Linked DNA regions of Caenorhabditis elegans. The protein of the gene in region 1 interacts with the protein of each later gene in a pairwise test. Each region holds a gene or a part of one and is shown in the gene's direction. Other genes may lie near its edges.

The links. The genes of interacting proteins can lie anywhere in the genome.
Region 2: the proteins of unc-73 (region 1) and vab-8 interact in a two-hybrid assay, tested with the Caenorhabditis elegans proteins (one study listed by BioGRID).
Region 3: the proteins of unc-73 (region 1) and sax-3 interact in a two-hybrid assay, tested with the Caenorhabditis elegans proteins (one study listed by BioGRID).

Annotation. Positions count from the first base shown.
Region 1 is NC_003279.8:4,027,776-4,035,681, reverse strand, and holds the start of unc-73 (CRAL-TRIO domain-containing protein), read left to right. Parts: upstream 1-3,942; 5' UTR 3,943-4,054; coding exon 4,055-4,075; intron 4,076-6,453; coding exon 6,454-6,623; intron 6,624-6,798; coding exon 6,799-6,892; intron 6,893-7,278; coding exon 7,279-7,683; intron 7,684-7,810; coding exon 7,811-7,906.
Region 2 is NC_003283.11:12,209,358-12,217,422, forward strand, and holds the start of vab-8 (Kinesin-like protein vab-8), read left to right. Parts: upstream 1-3,969; 5' UTR 3,970-3,978; coding exon 3,979-4,041; intron 4,042-4,126; coding exon 4,127-4,358; intron 4,359-4,501; coding exon 4,502-4,595; intron 4,596-4,640; coding exon 4,641-4,873; intron 4,874-4,916; coding exon 4,917-5,130; intron 5,131-5,446; exon of another isoform or gene 5,447-5,559; intron 5,560-5,620; exon of another isoform or gene 5,621-5,764; intron 5,765-6,357; coding exon 6,358-6,532; intron 6,533-7,179; coding exon 7,180-7,366; intron 7,367-8,065.
Region 3 is NC_003284.9:3,461,832-3,469,788, reverse strand, and holds the start of sax-3 (Protein sax-3), read left to right. Parts: upstream 1-3,861; 5' UTR 3,862-3,903; coding exon of another isoform or gene 3,904-3,933; 5' UTR 3,934-3,946; coding exon 3,947-4,019; intron 4,020-5,923; coding exon 5,924-6,279; intron 6,280-6,823; coding exon 6,824-7,084; intron 7,085-7,289; coding exon 7,290-7,453; intron 7,454-7,957. UniProt on the Caenorhabditis elegans protein: Required to confine migrating sex myoblasts to the ventral muscle quadrants during their migration through the body and for multiple aspects of sensory, motor, and interneuron axon guidance.

The DNA of each region.
Region 1 (7,906 bases):
TCTCTTCACTGGCGCCATGATCCCTATTCTTTCGGCTCGTCCGCCCATCAGGGAAGATCCCGCGGGTAAGATAGAGCTAGTCAGTCCACTTCCCACGCACATACATACACACACACAAACGCATATATACACTCACATACACACAATATCTCATAAAACTCTGTTAGCGTCTGCGCGTCTTCTGTTCTCACCCCACTATGAGATAGGTGAGAAGGCCGGAGCACACGGCGCGGAGCTCATGAAGGAGCAAAGGATTCCTCTCACCTGCTGCGAATGCTGATCTTGCAAAGTGAAAAAATGAGCGCGGGGGACGATGTGCGTTGTTTCGAAATTTTCAAACTTGTTTTTGACAGCTGCGGTGTTTTAGGCGAACTTGTTCGAAAAAGTACTTCAATTGGGTAGCAAAAACTGTTCTGGAAGGCTCTTCGGGATGTTGATCTTTGAGTTTTGTTTGTTATACAGGGACACTTATTTATTTATTTATTTCAATACCATTTTATAATCATGTCATAAGAAATGCAGAAATGCAGTGTTCAACGAAGGAATGAGCAGCAATTGCATATTTCAAAAATTATTTTTACCAGAGATTGCTGAAATTGCTAATTACAGAAATTTTAAACTTTTAAATTTTCGAAATATTTTTGAGCGTGTATTATTTGGCAGTATCTTCGTTCAAAATGACGAACTATGTCAAGGTTCAATTTTAAAACTCCCGAAATAATTAAGAAATAATTTCAGCAATTGCCGAAAATTTCAGAAACCATATATTGCACCCAAGGATGGGTTTACATAAAAATCACATTTGAATTTCGTTCATCGCATGAGTATGTGAGTCAAGCCGAAAAAAAACCAGAATTTATATTTTCAGAATGTGGATTGAAAATTATTTGAATGGTAAACATCTTAAAATTGATTTTCTTAATCAAAAATATGTGGAGTTATAATAAATACACAAGTATCAAAATCGTTTTTTACTTTATGCTGAGAAATAATGTATTGTCATTTTTTAAATGTTTGTTGCATTATTTTTTCTCAAAAGTGTTGTATGGCAATTAATGCAGGTTCCATAATTAGTTGCCACCCTGTATATGCTATGAGATAATTTGTAAAAATAGTTCTGATGGAAATTATCTTTCGTGAAAGTCGATTGTTGTGGGAGCTCAGAAATTTTTGTTGTTAAAATTTCAGACACCGATATGGTTTTTGACATTTTTTTGATTAACATGTTCTTCCCATAACGACTATCATTTTCAAATAGTCGTGATATCCATATTTTCAGATTTTTTTTTCTGATTAGCAGTTTTATTTATTTATATTTATTCATCAAGCAACAATCATAATGATACAATTACAAAAAGCAGTGAAGTGAAGGAAAAAAGAATGAATAAAAAAGCAGTTTTCAAATAGTTTTTTTAAAAAACAATGTTTAAGGTACGGTTAGACATCTGAAATTGGAATTAAAAACAGTGGCAACTATGTGACCCTCATGGGGTCGCTAACTACCCAGGAGGCACGCCTTCTGGGAAGTTAGCGATAGCGCGCGAATACAATCCTAGTCACAGTAAAACAATTGAAGAGGTGACCACGGGACCGCTCTGAATACCAATCGATGTAAATCTTATATTTTGACTGTTTTTGCCTTGTTGCAACGATTGATGCCGCCGTTTTGAATTCAAATTTTTACTGTCGCATCCTTTTTTCATAAGAAAGTCAGGATGATCTGAAAATAGACTCTGACCATTTTTGAGCTTTTTGTTAAATTATCACGATTTCTTGGTTTTCCTTTTGCACATTGTTTCTACATAAATTTTCTCTCACTAATAATATCCTTAACTTTGAGCCGCCATAAAACATTTGTAAGCATTATTGAAAAATCTATGTAGTTATGAAACTCGTTATCTTTGCGTCATTTTTAATATCAAAAAACATCAAAAAATTGTCGGTTACTACCTTTAAAAATTAGTACCACAATGCACCACGTGACAACTTCACTGAACGGGGGTAATAATATTCCAATGATAGTAACTGTCAAGTGTCGATCCCTTTTGTTTTATGATTTCCGCTTGAACGGTCATCGTATACTGTTTGGCTGAAGAGACATGTGGTGGTATAATCCTCTGGGAAATCCAATCTTCACCATGTGTCTCGAGAATATCTCTGATGTTGACTTGTTACTGTAGGATTGAGTGGAATTGATATTATTTTTGATATTAGGGCGATAGCGGTCATTTAGTTCAATTTTTGGTCATTTAGTTCAATTTAGTTCATTTAAAATTTCCTAGGATTTTGTTTTACGGTGTTCCACCGACACTAAAAACTGATTGTTCAGATCAGAGGTGTACGTTAAATTTTTTCGACAATTCTACAAAATGGCCTGATGTGGCATGTTGGTCTGATATTTTTCATTAAAATTTAGTGTCAAAATATAGGATTGATTGATCTGAAAATAATTTTTTAGTTGAAAAAAAATCCTTAAAAGTTGTCTGAAAGGTGAAAATTGCTGGAATAAATCAGACAAATTATTGACACTTTTTTCCAGCAATTGGCAACTTTCATGCAATTTTTAATCATATTTTCACATTTTCAAACTTAAATGAAAATTATTTTCTGATTAATAAATTATTTGTTATATATTTTTGCATTAAATTTTGATCTGTTTTGCCTGTTGAACTAAAATGCTCTAGTTCAGATACAAGTAGTTTCAAAGAATTTGAGAGATTAGATTATAAAGACATCTCAACAACTTCTAGAGCTCACAACAGCATCTATTGAGTTCAATTGAAAAATTCAATTTTGGAGAAGAAAGGATTTAAACAGAATTATCTATATTTGAAGTGTTGCTAACATACTTCTTGTCATCTGTCGCCTGCATCGTTTGCACCTGCCACCATTACCGCCATCTCACGTCGTCGTCTTCTTCATGTCTTCTTTCTTATTTTGCCTGTTGTGTCCCCGGCGGTCTGTCCGGTCCATCAACATCCGTCTGCGCGCGCAGTGACCCTTGCGTTCTCTTTTTACGTCTGCGTCTCTACAGGACACTAGCACTGTCTCATATGACCAGCGGTCTGCTACAACGGCCGTTAGCCTCCCATAACAATTCGCTTGTCTCCCGCTTTCGTACGCTATTCCCGGAGCGGTGCCCACCCCAATGGTTGGGCCCTCTTGAGAGAAATAGTTCGTTTTGGTAGCTCTTCCTTTTCTTCTTCCTTTTCCACGATTTTCGCATTTTCACACCCAACGATTTGTAATGCGTTGTGCAACTAATAATTGAGACTAGATTCATCACATCTTTATTTGCTTATTTTATTTTATGCAGTGAAGACATTTGAATAATGCATACTTCCTGAAAAAGTACGTATTCTAGTGAGAAGATCTAATAACGTTTCGCAATGTTTCGACCTTTTCCATCCTATTTTTAGCTGCTTGAGTATAGAATTTCTTCAAAAATATCAATGAGTCAGTCATTTTAAAACAAACTTTAAAATTTAGTTTTAAAAATTGGCAAGACCATTTTGACCAAAATTTGGCAAGAGATTGTTTAGACTAGGGTCAAATAGAATTAAATTAGCTCAAGCCACATGTTGCCAATTTCCGATTTAAGCCATTTTTTTCCGGATTGTTTGAAATATTTTGTATACCAAACTTGTTCCAAGAAGATGTTAAGCTATATGAAAAGCTTCTAAAATTGTAATGCACTTATTTTTAAATGTTCTGGAAAATTTTGTTTTTTCCATAATAATTAATAATTTTGTCTCGATTTTTTCTTTGATTTTTAAAATCTTATTTAGTGTGATTTTCCATGATTTTCGAGCAATATTTCATCAGAAAATTTAAATCGAAAATCAACTTTTTCTCTCTTTTCAATACGCACTCTATTTTATTTTCTCAAATCTCTTTTTTTGAAAGAAATTTAAAATTCTTTGAAAACTGTCATTTTTTCAGATAAACGGGTTCTCATCTGATCGTCACAATACACACACAGACATTCAGAAGCACATGATTATTTTGAATTCAAGAAGAGTCGTCAAATTCGCATAAAATTCCTCCATCAGTTATGGGCGATTATGATGGAAAAGTGAGTTTTTTCAGTTTCATGGTGGCGGCAGCGGCAACTTGTGAAAAAAGAGGCAGAGATGCCGGCGCCGTAATCCATTGAAGCGATTAATGCGGAAAACGAGTGCAAACTGTACGATTTGATAGAGAAAAGAATACGTTTTTGTTTTTCGAATGTTCCGAGAAATGTCTTTTTCATCAAATTTTTAAATTTCAAATAATTTAATTTTGTTTTGTTAATATTGCCCAGACGCAAAGTTTTGCGATATTTGCAATAAAAATACGGTATTCGGTCTCGATACTACAAATTTTTGATGAGCCTTTAAAGATTACTGTAGTTTAGTTGATTATTGATTTTTTTCTCTATATTTGTTTAAATTTATGTGTTTAACAGTTTTTTTGTTGTAAAATTGTTCCGATGAAAAATTTTTTTATAAATAACAATGAAAATTGATGAAAATTCCGCAAAAACCAAATGCTAGAGATTACAGTATTCTTCAAATAAAATTTTATCGTGTCAAGACCGGGTACCGTATTTTGATACAAAAATCGTTAAATTTCGCCTATGAGTAGTAGAAAAAATTAACACCAAAACAGCAACTAAAAAATTTAATATAACTTTAAAGTTTTGCCAAAATTGAAAAAAAAAATTTCCGAGATCTCTACTCTTTTTCACGACTATAAATCTTGATTAGGTCCAAACTAAAGAAAAATAAATCATAATAATTGATGTATTACGATTACAAACCTTCCCAGACAATTGTTGAAAAGTGTAAAATGAGTTCATCACGTTTTTGAAATATGTTATGAGTCAATTGTTTTGTGTCACTCATTCCGAAATTCGGTGCTCTCCCGGTGCTCCTGCTTCTTCTCACCCATTATTTCCGGATAGATCATGAGATGGAGAGACGCAGATAGCACGATAATAGTGACCGGTTGTGTAAAGTTGTGTGAGAAAAGAAACGAAATAGTGGGAGCTTATCAAGCTCTTCCCTCAATCCTTGAAACAGATGGTACTCTCAAAGAGTGCCTTCTCGATTAGCACCAATCTTACTACTAGTATGTTGTTGTTCGAGACAGGATTATGACCTCGAGAAGCGAGGAAAATGTGAGAGAGAACGAATACCAACAAAAAAATCCGAATAGTGTGTGTGTGTAATGACGGCAGTTTATGGCAATCGGGGAAGACATTGAGAATTGTTGTAGTGCAAAAAATTGGAGGAAAAAGAAAGAAAAAATGAAAGAAAATCTCTTGTGTGCCGGGTTTTCTTTCTTCCTTTTTCGTTTTTTTTCGTGTTGGTTTGCCTTGCAAGTAAACTAGTCAACTTCAAAATACTCTGGTTGAGCTTTTACAAAAAGTTCTCTCAGTCTTTTTTCTTTCAAATACAAATTTTTCTGCCCAATTTTTTCACAAAATAAACAAAAAGAGCCAAACTTTTATAGGTAGTTTTTGAGTACATTGTACTGATTATTTTAATTTAAAATCAATGATTCTAGTTTGTTATCTCTATTTTACAGTTTCATAAAATTTAAAAAAAGTAATGTACAGTGAATGATTTCAAATTTTTCTTTCAGTATTGGCCATACAAAAATGAAAAAATACAAAAAATAAAAAAATTTTATAAAACCTAGATTTCCGTTTGACATTTTCTTTTTTATTCCAAGTTTTAGTGCAAGTTCAGCGAAAATTCGCCCCCTGCGACTTCACCATTTAGAATTCGAAAATTTCAAAATTTGGTGCCCGCTTCTTGCCCAGAAGTTGGCAAAGCTTAGATTGATTTAGACTGCGCCCAAATCCAGCCCAAACTTGATCCAACTTTTGACAAACTCTAACCCAAGTTTAAAACCACACAAGAAAAGTTGGGCGCACCCTAACCAAGTATAAGTTTTGCCCAATTTTTGGTCCAAAATTAGACAAGAAGCTAGCCCTAAAAATCGAGTTAGTGATCGCAGAACTGTTATCTCTGACTCTCTGCTTTTCCTCCAAATCAACAGTCATTTTCCATTGCCGGGGGCCGCGAACAGCGCACTAACCATTCCGTCCGTCCGTCCCAATACACGAAAAAGTCGATTAGCAGATTGAACTTGGTGATAAACTGCAGTGCAATGTGACCAGCCCCTTTTCGTTCCACTCGACTCCCCCCCTATTCCACTCTTCGGTGTTGTGTTGCCTGCGTCTCAACGCTCTCTCCCTCTATCTCACCCGTTTCCTCTGGTGGTGAATTGAATTTCGAATGGTCCTTCTTTTACGACAAACACTGATATTTTTTGGAGCCACTGCGAGCTTTTTTTGGTTTTCTAAGATTTTGGTTTCATGTTCCCGGACATTTTGAACTTTCAAAAATAATCTCAAAAACTCTATGAAAACTTTTGATTTTAAACAATTCGAAAAAATTCCAGATGACGATGAAAGCAGAAGACATTCTGCATGTTCTTCGTGACGGCATTGCAGTACTTCCTGGAGGACGATGTAGAGCCGGACAAGCAGTTATCGTATGTCCATCACGAGAGCAACCTGTCAATCAGGATAATTTACGCAATGTCTTTCTGTATTTATTTGAAGTTACTTCGTAAGTTTTTTATTTGACTGAAATGGAACAACCACACTGTGAAAAAACAAAATTTATAAAAAGATATTTCAAAAAATTTATTTCCATTTTTCAATTCAATTACTTAACAATAAGCCTAGCCTAAGCCCACAAAACACAAATTTCAAAAAAACCAAACAAAAAATTGAATTTGCAGGAAGATGGCACGCGAAAAGGGATTCCTTGTGGTAATTGATATGCGTGGAAAACAAACATGGACCAATGTTCGACACATTCTGAAAGCTCTCAGTGTATGGTTTTTTTTTCGTTTAAAAAATATGGATTCCTACAAAAACAACAAAAAACTATATACACTTATAACAGCCAAAAATAGCGGAATATCCTTTAAAAACTTAGACTAAAACCCTCTAAAATTATTCAAAATTTTCAAAATTTTTAGTCACGGTTTGTGTACGTTGCCAAATTTTAAAAATATTTTGGAACACAAATATAATTTTTTTCAACCATAGAAATTTTTTTTCTGTCGACTTCCAAAAATATTGTATGTGAAAATTGAATTTTCATAGCTTTTTTACTGTAAATTTGTTTGAAAATTTTTCCTGATTTTTGGAAAGTTTAACACTAGGAGCACAATTTTTAAAACAACTTTCCAACTATATCAAATGTTAATTTTCAGAGTATTGAAAGCTCATCAACAGTACAAGTGTTCATCATCAAGCCCGAAAAATTCTGGGAGAAACAAAAAGCACAAATGTCCCTTGGAACGTGGGATTTTGAAGTTGAAATGATCTCATTCGAATCGCTTATCAAAATAATCGACTCGTCACATTTACCGAAAACCGTCGGCGGAAGCTATCCATATGATCATGATGAATGGCTTGAGCTCAGGTTGGATCTCGAGAAATGGATCTGGAATATCACTGAAATTATGGAAAAGCTCGAGTCTGTACGTCGAGAAATTTGCGAAGGCGAGCAGCCTGTCGATGTGACAACTGCCAACGCTGCGCTGAAAAAGAGCCAACACGCAAAGAATAGTATATTTAATGTTCCGGTGGAAGGAATTGAGACAGAAGGGAATAAAGTGAGTTTTTGTTTTCTTTTTAATTATATTCAAAAATTTGAAAATAATTTAAAAATTCTATGAATGTTTAATACCTGACCGCAGGTGAAAATTCCTTAATTTTCTTTTAGTCATGTTAACTTTGCAGATTGCAACTCGAATATTAAAACCGTCGAAGGGTGTCAAAAACCCGGACCTTGAAGCGACAACCCCATATATTTCAAATTTGACCGATTCGCTCAGG
Region 2 (8,065 bases), on another chromosome or scaffold:
TGTATTCCTAGCAAGTTCTCACTTCAGAATTTACAGAAAATGACAATTTAAAATTTTTTGTACTCAACTTTATATACTTATGAACATAAATTCACCAAGTTTCTCACCCCAAAAAATATAACCCTTATAATTTCAAATTTAATTAATATTCATTTGTACACGTGTTTTCACACTATTTGACTACTGTTAGCTCATTGTCATTCTCTTTTCAAAATTTATTCACCTGTACATCAACTAGTATTTGCACTTCCTCCTGGCTTCTTTCGTCATACCGCTCTCCAATTTATTCATCTTCCCGCCGTTCAAAACCTTTTTCGCGTTGACGATGATTTGTGATGAACTGTTTTTTTCTCACCTTTTCTTCAGATGCCATTCTCGGTTTCACACAAATTTTCGTTTTCTTGGCGTCCCTGAAGATCATAATCTCATCCCTTTTTTGTGTGACCACCATGAGCGGGTTGAGGTATCGAATACTAATTAACAGGAAAATGGAAAATAGAGAACTGGCCAGTTTTTCAAAGTTTTTGTTCGCAAGTTATCCGTCAAATTACTATTGGCTTTATATCCTGACATTTTTGAGTTCTGAATTGTTTATTAATACTCAGTTTTCTATTGCTCAAAAGTTTTAGAAAGCATTGCAAATATTTTTCTAGAGCGGCAATGCATAAACCCTGAAAAGTTTCAAATTTAGTATATTACCAAAAGGGAATCATTCCAATGGACGAGCTCCTCACACTATAACTCAATTTTGTTGCCTCACTGCGTTGGTTCGTTTTGAATTCTTGAGTTCCAAATTTAGAGTTCACTATTGAGAAATGTGATTAACCACCACATGGATCATCATCATCATGGTGGTTTCCATCTTTTCCTTATTAGCCACAATCATGCATTGAAACCCAAAACTAACATTATTGTTTCTGTTTGATTATAGACTATTCGCCTTTTCTTCTCTGAATTGACATAAAATTCATCATTTTTAGATCCAAGATTTGCAAGCTCTAATTGTCTAATTCGTTATCTAATTTGTTACTACCCATAAAAATTTTCTGACTACAATCGAATCATTTGATAAGAATCTTAACTGCTGGATCCTTATGCTGCTCAGAATCTCGAAATTACTTGGCACATTAATGCGCCCTCTTAATTTCTATGTCTCTCGATTTCTCGAACTCTTCTCGTAGACTGCGTGACAGTCAATTGGCACATATGTCATGAAATATAGTGATTTTTGACGACGAGAGGAGGGTGGCCACGGGAGGATGCAGGATTAGATGGCTCAGTGTCAAATTACTACATTCAAACCGAAGAGGAAGTCCGAACAAGAGATTAGATGTTTTCAAATATTACTTCGATGTTCACTCTCTATTATTAGAGCACTCTGCGATGTTTTAGACCGTTTTGAAACTGGTATTGCGAAAACTTTCGAAATTGCTCTAAAAGGGCAACTTTCATAATGGAATCTTTTTTTTTAAATTCAAATTTTTGGAAAAAAAACCTAAAGTAAAAAATTATCAAAATTTGAATGAAGTGTAGTAATTGAACAGAAGTTTTAGTTTTCCTTCAAAATTGTTGAACCTCATGAATTTTTTAGATGCCTCATTATGACCGTACATTTTGAATGTTTTAGAGCAATACGACAATTGTCTGAATCTATAATTTTGTTTCCGCAGGTGTTTTGTATTTCTATAACCTATATTTTTAGAGGAACATAATTGCTCATAGAGTTACCCTTTACAATTAGGAAGCACTATAGTATTTGGACCTTCCAATCCTTTTTGCTCATTTCCCTAATCAAGTCTTCGCCCTCCTTCTTCCTCCTCCCACCCATTTTGTGTCCACTCGTTCTTTACTCAAACATTTGTACAATTCCTCCTTTCCCGGGGCAGCTGATTGCGCCATAGTTGTCCTCTCAGTTGTCCCGTGGACACGTCCCACGTCCCGTTTCTCACTCTATTGCATTAAGGGACCATTGGAATTGGGCCAAAAGACATATGTGTCTATCTCTCTTTCTTCAAGACTCCACCCTTCTAAAGAAGATGTGGATAGAAAGAAGAAAAGGAAACCAACTCTTTCTATACATTTTACTCATCTTTTCTATTTTCTTTTCTTTCATGTGTTGCGTAAAGATGAACGGAGACTCCGCCCACTTTTTTCGGTTTTCTTATTTTTAGTGTTGTTGTTGTTTTTGTTGTGTCACTCTTGATATGTGGCTTGTACCTACAGTCTTGTAAGTTATAATCTCAAACTTTGACCTTAAAACTCCAAAAAGTTTCAAAGATTCTACCAGTGACCGGATGTTTGAAAAAAGAAGGAAATGTGCTCAACAGATGTGATCACTTCCTTTGGATTCTCCAGATGACTGAATTTTGTATTTTCTTATGTTTCCATTAGATTTAATTTTTAAAAAATGTATACCTGTTTAGTTTCCCGAACCACGAGAAATAATGCAAAATGATTTTTTCATCTATAAGAGCTCTTGTTTTCCTAGTTTCTGGTCATTTGTTTTAACGGTTTTTTTGCCTGACATGATAGATAAAATTTCATAGTTGTTTATTTGTTTGAAAATATCAATTTTCGCAATGAATAATCTAAAAATTAGTATCTCCTGGAGTATACTTACAGTAATCACTATTTTTCTATGATACCCGTTCCTCACCTGATACATCCAACTGTAGTTTCTGTGTTTTACTCTTTTATTAAATTTTGTTTCAAAAAAATGTGTTGCACTATTTTTCTATTCTTTCCCCTGTTTCACGCCCATCACTCGTCTCAAAAATCTTTTCACTACTTTTCTTCTCAACTCAATTCATTCCTAGGGGAGGTCAAATTACCACTATTCTTTCTTCTCACTTTCAATTTCGATTTGCTTTCTTTTCAGAAAATTACTGATATTTTTGAAAAAAAAATTATGATTATTAGTTTTAGTCTTTTTTAGTTGACAGTTTTTGATAGAATTTTTCATGTTATACATTTCTGTTTTTCGATACCAAAAATGTTTACCTAAACTGTCTAGACTTTTGAATTGGGAAATGTGCAATTCACAGATCGACAATAATTCTTTTATAAATACCAGGCGGTTTGTTCACGTGGTACTTTAATGACTTTTGGAACTTGACCCCGTCCAGGGACATAAAACCAAAACTATATTTAAATATCCAAAAGGCAAGACCTTATAATATTCACTCTACCCATTTGCTTTAATTCAAAAAAAAAAGTTCCCACAATGAATGGGTTTGTACGTATCGTTCATCCCCATCGCCAGGGCGTCAGAGAGTTCTCCATTTTCCGATGCAGTGTTGACTCACTTTTTGGCGGGAAATGGTCTTCTTTTCAAATGTTCCCTTTTTGGTACTTTTTGGTGGAAAACTGATGATATCATTTACTCTATTGTCAGACTGTTTCGTAGAATTTTTATGTTTTTTTTGGTTTCCGGTGGTTTTAAAGAATGTCAATTGCACATACGAAGTAACATTTCAACGAGCTGAAAATTCTTCGCGAAAGAGTAAATTTACTACTTCTTTCAATTTTTCTTTCACTTGTATATCTCATCTTATTGAGTAATTATTTGGAGCGTTGTACTACAGTTTAAGCAGAAAAGAGAAGATTTATAGAGCTTTATCATAATTTTTTGTGTAATCAGTTGTGGTCTGTTTCACAATTTTCAAAAAGTTGGCTCCGTGCCAGCAACACTTTCCGTTTTCCCACATTCCACCTCATTTTACTCAATAGGTGTTCGTCGGTAACATGAAAAGACTCATCTACCTCTTTTGATTATTTATGCAGACACGCTTATATGGGCACACACATACACACTTTGATGATAACGGTTTGTCCGTCTTTTATCAGGACTGACCCTTTCCTCCCTCGCAAATTTTTCCCGCGACATTCTTTTTGCTTTTTCTTTGGTTTTTTCTTTGATTTCCGTTGCCCGTTCCTTCCCGAATTGCGGATTAGAATGAATATTTTCAGACCTTATGAATGGAGGCATGCAGCAGTAAGACCTCGCTGCTTCTTCATTCGCCGTTGCGAACGATTCCGAAAGTAAGCTTTTTGTTGAATTATTTGTTTGCTAATTTTTTGGCAAACATTTCTAGTATTCACAGATTGAGATTAACACATTTTTCAGCTTCGACTATGTGCCAGTATAAGCAGTGAAGATGTTGCACATGGTCGGTGCAGTCTCACTGATCAACACTTGCAAATCGAAGGAAAGAACTATTCGAAAACGACATTTGATCATATCTTTAGAACAGATGCTACACAGGATGATATGTATACGGCATTTCTATCGGATACAATAAATTCAGTATTCGCTGGAAATGATGCAACAGTTTTAGCAATGGGAGCTAAAACTAATGGTGAGTAATTATTTTGGAGAGTAACGTTTTCAAATTTGAAGAACTTATACAATTTTCAATTTTTCCTCCATTTCTAATGGAGATACTATTTACGATTACATTAAGAATGTTTTTGAAACTCATCGAATACTAGAAATGTTCAGGAAAAGACGAACGTCTCTACGGGAACAGCGTTTCAAGAAACGGGTTGGTTCAAATGGCCATCACTCAATTAATGAATGCCCTTGATGATAACAAGTAGGTTTCAATGTTCTATATTTCCATTAAATTTCCTATTTCCAGAGATTCGGAAGAACGAATACAAGTTCGAATGTCTGCAATTATGGTGTCACAAAATGAATCTTCAATAGTCGATTTGTTAAGTCCATTCAATCCAGATCCACGTCACCGAGTGGTTAAAATAGTGGATGATGCTCGAACAGGAGTATTTATCGATAATGAGAGTGAAATTCGTGTCGAGACCATTGATCAGGCATTATTTTATTTGAATACTGCAGTGGATCATCGAATGATTCGTGAGTTGAAACATGATCTAAATGTCTTATACACAAGTTTCAGAAGACGAGCATACCCATCGAACAAGCCACGTGTTCATATCACTAAGCTTGTATTCGTATAAAATGGGTGACAAAATGCAAGGAGGACGTCGTCGACTTTGTTTCTTGGATATGGGAATTGGTGAGAGAAATTCAACAAATGGAGGAATGACAATGCCAGCATTAGGGAGTATTCTTTTGGCAATGGTTCAAAGAAATAAACATATTCCATCAAGGTGAGTATTTTGAAGAAATATTTTTTTAAAAAATTGGTCTGCAAATCAAAAGTGTACCTGGAGAAATCTGGAAATACAGCGTTCATAAAACCCTGAATATTCAATTAAAGTAGGAGGACTCGTGAGAATTTTGTTACAATCTACTCACTTTTATTATTTATTACCAAAAAACACAGTTTTGGTGAATTTTAATTTTTCGAGAAAAGTTTAGAGCAATGTGAGAAACAATTGATTTAAAAATCCTAGAAGTTAATCACCAGTCACTGTTTCATCCCCATATTTAAATGGAGCGTTCTAATTTGGCGTCACGTCTGCCTTGTAGGCACTCAAGTAGTCAATTTTTACTAGCTTCTAGTATAAGGAAGATCCATCAGAGTTTCACACATATTCTGCGGTCCTCCCCCAATTTTGTTCATTATGCCCTCTACTTCATCTCAATCAACCTTCATTTACCGGCGGAAAGATTAAGAGAAGATTGTCTAGTCACCCATTTATTTATTACCACTTTTTATTGAACCAGTTGTCGATGGATCGTTATTTGCGCGCGCGGAAGAAGTAGGAGGTGTGTAGGAGAGGGGCGCCGCGCTCTTCCAACATGGATCCTTCAGGACACATCAAAGAGAAGAGCCGCCCACGAGCCACACGAGGGATTAGATGAATTGGTGTCTTTTTTTATTTCACTGTTGAGAGATGGTACCTCCTGATGTTTTTGGTAGAGACAGGAAGAGGCGGTGAAGTGATGACATTTTCAATGAAAAAAAGAGAAAGCAGGGGAAGGGGAATGATGAATATAAAAATCGGGGGATTGTAAGAGTAATGAGAACAGGAAGGTGGACAATGAAAAAAAAAAACATCTCAATTGTTTTATTGCAAGTAGTTGTAATATTTCAACTCGAAAAGTTTAAATATTCAAAATTTGTCCAACTTTTTGCATAAGAAATGACCAATTAATCAATCCATATGCTTTTGTCGGTGAATCTTGCGTTTCCGGTCACCGCCTTCAAAAGTTGCTTGGGCATGCTCCCTTGGGAACGAAATGAATTTTATTTTTCTTTTGACTATCCTCCTTTTCCTTCTTTTTGAATTCTTCGTACCGAGAGAATAAATAACAAATTGCTGCCGCTTCTGCAGAAATAGAGCAGTGGTTCTTAGGGAATTGAAAGTTTGACAAGTGTTAGAATGTGTCAAAGTAGAAGATGTTAAAATGAAATTTTTCCTTTTTTACAGGGACTCGTCAGTGTGTCAACTCATCCGATGTGCATTGAGTACGTCAAGATTCACGACGTTCGTTTTTTCATTTGGTGCCAAGAGTGACGATAACGAGAACATTGCACATTTGGCTTGTAAAATCGCAAGGACTCGAGCAAAGAGTATGGTTGGACATGGAAGGAAGTCATCAGGGGTGAGTTTGAAAACATCAGTTCAGATAATTTATTACTGCTCGCATAATAAAGGTTTTTGAAAACTATTTTAAATTTAAGAATGGCAATATTTCAAAAATACAACAATTCTGAGAATTTATCCAAAAGCTTGACATTTGACAACTGTTTGCCAACTTACCGAAAATTTCACTGCAAATTTCAAAAGTATACAAGTTTTTGGAACATTGTATTCTTTCGTATTTTGAAGAAAATATTCCTACTACTAGTTAAATATTCTTACAATATTCCTACATTTTATTTTCTCTCACGGCACTCTCAAAAAATTCCTAGCGCTCAGTATTTGATCTGGTTGAATTTGGGGAAGTACTGTGCAAAGATATTTTTTTAATAGAAAACTACGATTTTGTAGGCTACTTTTTATCATTCTTTGACCTTTTTCCTCGGTCTCACTTTACGGTAAAATCCGGTCCACCTCTAGCATAACCTAAATATTAATATCGCTGCCGCAAACATAATACCATAATCGAAATTTGATCCTCTTTGTATGAATTCTTGTATATTGTATATTTACAAAGAAAAAACAACCGGCACTTCTTCCGCATTTTTTCTTCATTTTTAACATTCAGATATTTTTTTTTATTTAAAAAAATTGAAATTCTAATTTCAGACAATGTCAACTGGAACAATGGAATCAAATTCTTCATCATGTGGAACAACTACAATCACACCGGGAGGCACTCCTAGAACACAACGAAGATTTGAATTAGAATCCGGATCAGAGCTAAGTGCAGCTGAAACTGTGATATTCTTGGGTCCGAATTCCTCAAGAACAGCATCACCAGCTTCCACAACAAGTGAGTTTGAAAAAATCTTCGGGATGTGGGTAAAGAAGATTAATCGACTGAGATCTGATTTACGAGCCGCCCGCATTTTTTTTACGCTCGTTCGCATCGATATCTTCTCCCATCATTATCATCGTTAGTTTACGGAAGCCACCACTTCAAGGAATATAGTTTTCTTTTTTCAAGATTTTTGAAAATTTCGCGGCCAGTTTCACATTTGGGATTTTTCTTAACACTTGTACATTAAAATTAATTAAAATGTTTTTGTTAAACGATTTTTTAAGCACTATACCCCCGCGTTTAAGATTTTTCATATATATTGATGTCTATATAACCCATTTCTGATAATAGATGTTTGATAATTTAAGTATTTTTACGAAATAACCAAAATTGAAAGTATATCACAAGCAAGCAGAAGACCGATTTAATGTATTCATTATTTCAGATATATTTTCGATTGTTTTGGAATTTCTGAAAATAAGGTCACATGTTTTTGATTAAGTGCGAAAATCCTACCTTCTAACTTAAATATTTACACCGACATGGTGCTAATTGTTCGGTTTCTTTGGCATTTGTTTAATTACTGGTTAATCAAGTATTTTAGATTTGTAAGTAGTTTCTCATAGGTTTAACCAAGGGCCACTGAAAAATAAAAAAAAAGTGACACGAGGAAACCATGATCAATCATTTCTCATTTCTCAGTTCTTCTTG
Region 3 (7,957 bases), on another chromosome or scaffold:
GCTCAGCAAGTATCATTCATCCTTGTGTGTGTGTGTCTATTCTCGTCTTTCTTTTTCCACTTTTCTCACTTGCGCAAAAACGTAAGGGCGAAGACGTTGCGCGCGTACTAACAATGGGCCCCCACCCTTCCGCAGCTCCGTAACAAATTTGTTCTGAAGCCGTAGTACATCACGCTGTCATCTGCTTTTGTGCCCCCCCCCCCCCCCCGTCCATGTTTCCTCTTCCGTCGTCAGTAGCCGTTACTCATAATTCTATTTGAAGGTAAACCAATTTGGGAGGAAGAGAAGAAGGATGCCCGATGGATGCTGCTTCTTCCTCTTATTCTTCTTGTGCTCCACAAAACTCTCTTCCCCCCCCCCCCCCGTTCCATTCTTCTATTCCTCTTCTCTGTTCGAAAACCTCTTCTTCATCAACCGCTTCAATTTGAGTTTCTCCTTTTCTTTCATCTATACTTCTTTTCTTCCATTTCGTATTCATTTATTGAGAGAGCTCACCCGCACCCTTCTCCTCTCCTGCATCCTTGTCGGGTTTCCGCTTTCATCATCTTCGCCGCCTTATTCTGGAAAACAGATTCATTATGCATATCATCTTTCGGAGTCAGTCAGCTTTTCATCTGCTTTCACGGATGGCTGTCGTGAAGTCGCAAAAATAATAAAATGTGCAATTGCCCTGAAAAACACGAAAAGTCGAGAAAAAAAAGCCATCGGAAAACATGTGTGTTTCTGTTTTCTGGTTCATTTTGATACGCAAGATGTAGTGTATTAGTGAATAAAATGTTCTGTCTTGTTTTTTAAAGCATTTTTCTTAGTATCTTCTAGAAAGGTATAAAATCGTTTAAAAGTGGCGCATGACTAAATATCATACACAGTTGAACTTTTTAAAACTTTTTTTTGTTGAATTTTTTCATTTTTACAAACGTGTGTATTCAGTTTTTGTTACTTTTTTGGACGTTGTCAATCAAAAAAAAAATTCAAATTTTAATATTAAAACTCTGTGGGGATTTGAAAACGCGACAGTGCTAATTTTTCATTTTAAAAAATGCAAAAACTCAGTATTTGCCACTTTTTGACAGTCAGCAAAAACCTTTGAAAATTTTTGAAATATTTTACAAAGATATTTAGTTATTTTAGCACCATAGGAGTAGTTTTCACCAATCTCCCTACCGCGCTACTTTAACATTTGTGCCAAAGGTGCGCGGCAAATGCAGGCTGGCAATTCTACAAAATGAGCCAGTCTGGCATGTTCCCCGAAGTAGTTTTTTTTTAAATAAAAATTTAGTTACAAAAAATGGAAAATTAATTTTTTATCTGAAAATAACTTGTTCTCTATTTGAAACAATTGAAAAAGTGCTCAAAAATTGTCTGAAAGTTTGAAATTGCCGAAAAATATACGTGCATGTATTAAAAACTTCCATATCATAATTTCTCACGCACCTCATGTTTCTTTGGATTTAAAAAGAGAGATTCAATATCACCGAGAGAGCAGGAATATTTGCATAACCCACTTTTGCTCACCGTCGTCTGCCACTGACCACTTGCTCCGCCGGCGACCCACTTCTTGGCGGGGCAAAGGAGCGCGGAATTGAGAAAAGATGGGAGGGGGAAAAAATCATTTGGCGCACACTTTCGTGCCCCTCTTTGACGTCCCCCATTCCAATCCACGTTTTTCACGCCATCGACCCGTCGTCCGGTCGAGCAGGTGTCCAGTGGACCCCATGACGAATTGCGGCGGACCACAATTCTATTCTCCCTGGTAGACTTTCCCATCCCATCACACTTTTCTTTGCATTTTTTGCTTCTTTTTTTTTTCTTTTTGGTTATTGTGCCATCTTTCTTCTGAACTTTTTGCTTTTCGGAAAAAGAGGTGATCTTCTCATTTCAACGAACAAACGCACTTTGTAAAGTGCCATAAAGTTTATTGTCCAGCTTCTCGCCCCGCCGACACCTTTGCGAAATTATGGTCAATTCCTGTCACTGGTTCTCACTTTTTTACTTTCCACATTTCCCCACCGTCTGCTTCCCCGCAAAAATCACAGGCTCTTCGAATCTCCCCACCTATTCTTGCGAATTTTATCGGTTCCACTACAAGTGTAACTATTGCTCATTGACAACGTATAGACACAACACGACAGATGTTGTATGACAGGGCCGGGTTTTCCTTCTTCTTCGTCGTCCTCCCGTCCCCCAATCGTTTGCCTCGTTGGTCCATGGGCATAGGTTCGGTCTACAATGGACCTAATGAACGGGTAGTCGAATGTGAGAGGAGGGCGGCCACGAATTGGAATAATTACTTAACCAGGGAAGGGGGCGACGTATAGCCCCGGCTATCCCCTCATATTCCATGCGGTTTCGTTCCGTATCGAGCCGCTTGCATGACATGGACATCCGTCATCGCCGTGCTCTTGACGCGCATTATTTAGGTTATTTATCTGACAATTATGAGCTTTCTGACGACCTTATTGAGTTGAGAGCTTTGATATGTTCTCGAGTACTTTCTTGTCTAGAATAAAGCGTATTGATTTTTCTTATTCGCCCGCCTGTTGCCAGATAGTTTATCTAATCAGTATTATTCAATCGCTGGCACAACATAAATCGATACTTGTCTCACTCCTCTTTGCGCGTTTATCTCCCCGCGCATTGCACACACACCTTGAAGAGGAAATCTGATGTCTAACATTCTGCGTCTACGCCTTCTAGCAATTCGTCTCAACGGTCCTCATTTTAAATGTTCTGCAAATGCATTTGTACTAAATTGTGATTTGTTTCTTTTTGGTTGTTAGAGAAACAATGAAAGCTTTTTGTATGTATAAAAATTTTGAACCATTTGGTGATGTTGAAAATCCGTTTTTCTTTTAATTTCAAGGTATTTTCCTAATTTTGGCCATTTTGCTGTGTTTGAAGTTTTTAATTTCCATGTTCAAATTGTAGCTATAGTTATTTTATTGATACTCTGGCAAAAATCAAATTTCCCAAGTAAAGTAAAACGCCTATATAGACTTGATGAAGTTCTACTTAGATTGAAACTTCAACGGATTCTTACTACAATCTTGCACAACTCCTGCGTAAAATAAAATTTTGCATAGCTTTTCGGGAGTCTTGTGCAGTTTGAAACAACTCCTGCACACTTCCCAATCTGCCACGAACTTAGTACTAAAGATTTTTTATATTTTTTGTCAGAGTAGGTTTCCTTTTTCAAGTTGCCTTTTCACTACACCAAATTTTGATTACGCCTCGCCGCATTTAAGAAAATCCTTTCAAAATCGACTTGTTCATTTTCTTTCATCTTCTATATCCATCCTTCATCCGTCCTTCTGCGCGTCATCTTTAACCAGTCTCACTACGTTTGCCTCCTAACTTTGCGTCCTCATTTTTTTTGTTGCTTGTCTTCCTGCTGGCTACTTTTGCCTCCCGTGCATTTTTTCTTTATTTTTTTTTGTCCAACATCTTCCGTCGCGTAGAAGACTAAATTTGTTCTTCATTCTAGAATGTGGCTCTCTAGTCCAATTTAGGGTCGGCTTCCGTCCGAATCGCTCCACCACCACCACCACCGAAAATGCGCAAAAACGGACGCACAAATCGTCTTCGCGTCTTGAAAACGACGACGACGACGCTCGTCAACTTTTCAATTACTTTGTTGTGTCTTTTCCTTTTTTCCTTCTAAATCTATTCTCCCGAGTGTCACCCTAGCAAAGATGAATGATTACACCCAGGGCCACGCTTTTTTCGCCCTTTTCCATCTTTTTCCCATCACCTATTTTGTCTTGTTTCTCCTTTTATATTCCCTCATTCTCTTTCCGTCATTTTGTCGCCCACTCTTAAAACAACCGCCAATAACTTTGATTACTTTTGTGTTTTTCTTGCAGGTGTCTCCCAACTGGAAATTCAGAACACCGCCACAATTAGATGCAGCCTTTGAAATTGGACACAGATTGAATAAAACAAGATCATGTTCAATCGAAAAACGCTGTTATGCACTATCCTCCTGGTATTGCAAGCAGTAATCCGAAGCTTCTGCGAAGGTTGGTTTTTTTTTTCTAGAAAAAAAATGTTAAGTTAAGAATGTACCAAAAGTGTCAAGTTACATGGTGAAAAAAACGCGTCGCCAACAAGACACGCTATTCGATCCACTCGTGGGTTTTCTTTGAATTCACTTGGAAACTTGGAAAATCCATTAGGTTGGGTTGTATTTCCCATGTCGAAGAAAGCGATTAAAACGAAGATTGACTGAATGCGCGGAAACGAATGCCCTCCATCTTGGAAAAATGCTCTTTACTCGCTGCTTTTTCTACTCTTGCGCTATTAGACATGACTCTTCATTTTGTCAAACACCAAAAGCGGGTTCGCTGCTTGGATTGTGAGCTCGTTTGCCGACTATAGTGTAAAAAGATTCGATTATCGTTTTGGACTGCCATCTGCCCTCTTGGCCGAGCCAAGCCCCGCTTTTGGATGGTAATGTTGAGAAAACAATAGTGAATAGGACGGGGGGAGAATAAATGGTATAGAAAATGAATGAGAGGAGTTAGTCTCATTGAGGCGCGTGTTCTCAAGTATTCACCATTCAAATGCTAATCTCTTAAAACAATAAGTCTTTTTGTACAGCGACCAGAGCCAGTGTAATTTGCAACGAAAATATAAGAAACAGTTGGGAGCGACCACCCGCAGACTCTCGATATTTGTCTTGTTCCACATTTCCACATTTCCACAATGTAATTTGTGCAATGTGCAAGTCATTATTCAATGTGATAAATTGCCCCAACCTGGGTCATTTAAACATTTTAGCACAGTTTTAAGATGCATGCGAATATCCGTAAAATTGAGAATCATTAGCATGCGGTTGATAGAAGATGAGAAGCTATTTGAAATCCCTCCCCAGAGACTAGTAGGTTATTAATGAGCTGTTGGCGCTGTCCAAAATATTCAGTTGCATCTCATGTTTTAGAAAGACAGCCTGCTTTTTAGCAGAAGCTTTCAACACCAATGTGTTGCGAAAGAATGACGGGCGAATTGTGAAATTGGGTGTTGACAGGATGAGATATGTGTACATCTTCACAGCTCTTTGGTTTTGTCTTGCCTATGGATGAAAAGGCGGGCAGGCAGCGTAGTATAATATTTTGAAGGTTAACACGGCCATTAAATTGTAGCCAGAGTACAATACATTGGTTCATGGATAGTTTACTCGCGTGCGCACATTTTGACACTGGCACGCTAGATTGTTGAAAGGTTAAAGAGGTGACAGAAGAGACAGAAGGACAGCCAGGCTAATTAAATTGTTGAATCCGGCAGCTTGTTAGCCACACTTTGGTCTGGTAATTTACTAGTGGAAAACAACAGTGGTCCGTATTTTGAAGTGGAGGAAAACAAGTCGGCCTGCTGAAATTTTTATTAAGTGTGTGCGCAGCAGTGTCAGGGTGAATGCCATAAACAAGTGATTCAAAATGGCTTTTTGATATTTTTTGAAGCAGATGGGAGAAGATGGGTAATCCGTCGGAGGTCAATGGCAATCTTATGTAATAGACCACCGACACCCAATAAACCAGCCGTTAATGTACTATCTAGGTTTTTACCACACTCACACACACACACACACATACATAAATTTTGATAAAATTCCTAGTGAATCATTTTATTACCTACCGTCCGTCAAGGACAATAGTGTCGCACATCTCTACTGAAAAATCGGTGAGGGAAGGTGTTCGTTTCGACACCATAATACAGATGTGACAGTATTGCGCGTGCCGGATCGGTCAGATTGATTTAATGCACTTGGACAAGTTTCCTTTCTTATTCACATTGTCAAGATGGATAAAATCAAAGTGTTGATGTATGTGGAAATAAGATGAATGGGAGATGAGGAAAGTAAAAAAAATTCTAACAGGGGAATGATGTTGTTTTGAACCTTTTCAAATCTTGAATATAATTTCAGATGCCTCAAATCTCGCTCCCGTGATAATCGAACATCCCATCGATGTGGTGGTATCTAGGGGATCGCCAGCAACCCTCAACTGTGGTGCAAAGCCATCTACCGCCAAAATCACATGGTACAAGGATGGACAGCCCGTAATCACGAATAAGGAGCAAGTGAACAGCCACCGGATTGTTCTCGACACGGGATCCCTGTTTCTTCTGAAAGTGAATAGTGGAAAAAACGGAAAAGACAGCGATGCGGGAGCGTACTATTGTGTGGCCAGCAACGAGCACGGAGAAGTGAAGTCGAACGAAGGATCGTTAAAATTGGCGATGCTTCGCGAAGACTTTCGAGTTCGGCCAAGAACAGTTCAGGTAAAGTTTAATACTTTGAATAATATTACGTATTTTTTCACTTAATCCTGCACTTTTCTACTTTGACAGTTTACCTTATAATCTCTATTACTGCGGCATTTCCATGGCTCAACCCTGACAGTTCGTATCTCGGTCAAATTGGATTTTTTGTAAAAATTTTAACTGAGCACAGTTTTGTTAAATTTCTCTGTAAATTTATTGTTTTTGAACTTCTTAATATCTTCAAAAGCATTCGAGACATATGCTGTCAGTTAAACAGTTGGGGTGCCGCACAAATAGAGAATAAAACGGCATATTCTGAGTCAGTTCAAATATGTCACCTCATTTTTTAGTGTTAAACTACAGAAAAAAAAAATTATCACTATTTTGTCAGTTGAAAATTTTTGGTAACCCCGAAAAACCGAAGATTTGGACCATCAATGTTACAAAAAACTTCATTCGTCAGTTTTTCAAAAACTGTAAACCGCACTGCACAATTTGTCAACGCGATTTTTAGACCATTAAAAAATAATTATTCACAGAAGCGTTACTCAATTGTTTTCAGGCTCTTGGTGGAGAGATGGCCGTTCTGGAATGCAGTCCGCCACGTGGATTCCCGGAGCCGGTTGTGAGCTGGCGGAAAGACGACAAAGAGCTCCGAATTCAAGACATGCCACGATACACTCTACACTCTGACGGAAACCTCATCATTGATCCGGTCGATCGAAGCGATTCTGGTACTTATCAGTGTGTTGCCAACAACATGGTCGGAGAACGGGTGTCCAATCCCGCAAGATTGAGTGTCTTTGAGAAACCAAAGTTTGAGGTACGTGTGGAAGCGATAGTCCTTTTAAAATTAATTTAAATTGTAACTCAAGGTCGTTTCAATTTCATTGTTCCGATGAAAATGCTAAATGACTGGTAGATTAACAAAAAAAATGTCGACAGGGGGTTTTGTAACTTCCTGTATTCTATTCTCAATCTTACTAATTCGATGATTAGTATTACTATTCATTTGATGTTGATTTCAGCAAGAACCCAAGGACATGACGGTCGACGTCGGAGCCGCAGTGCTGTTTGATTGTCGTGTGACTGGAGATCCTCAACCACAAATTACGTGGAAACGCAAAAATGAGCCGATGCCAGTTACACGTGCATACATTGCCAAGGATAATCGGGGGTTGAGAATCGAAAGGTAATAAAAGTGGGAGAAAGTCGAGGTGTTATCTCATCTTGCAAAGGATTTAGTTATCTCTTAAGAGACACCGAAGAGACATAATCTAATAACCGTTTTCGGAGATCTAGGTTATATTTTTTATGATCTGAAATACATTGATGAATGATAGTTGTTGGACACCTGTTTGCGAGCCTTTTTATTGAAAAGTTTAGGCATCTAAATGGGAAAGTATTGGATTTACAAAATTTACAAAGCCTATACTTATTGTACTTATTGGAAAACAGTCGCATTATACAAAAAAAATGATTAGGTACCAATAGATTTCGTCCCCCCAAAAAGTTGTTAATGTTTCAGCACTGAAGTGTTTAGTATTTATACGCATATATATTTCATTACTACTTCAATTGTAAAAACTAGAAAATAAAAAACAATACTAAGTTTAAAATCACAAAATGGTCACGTTTCAATTTAAAATAATAAAAAGTTTCAAAATGAAATTTCAATGTAAATTGCGAATCGAGA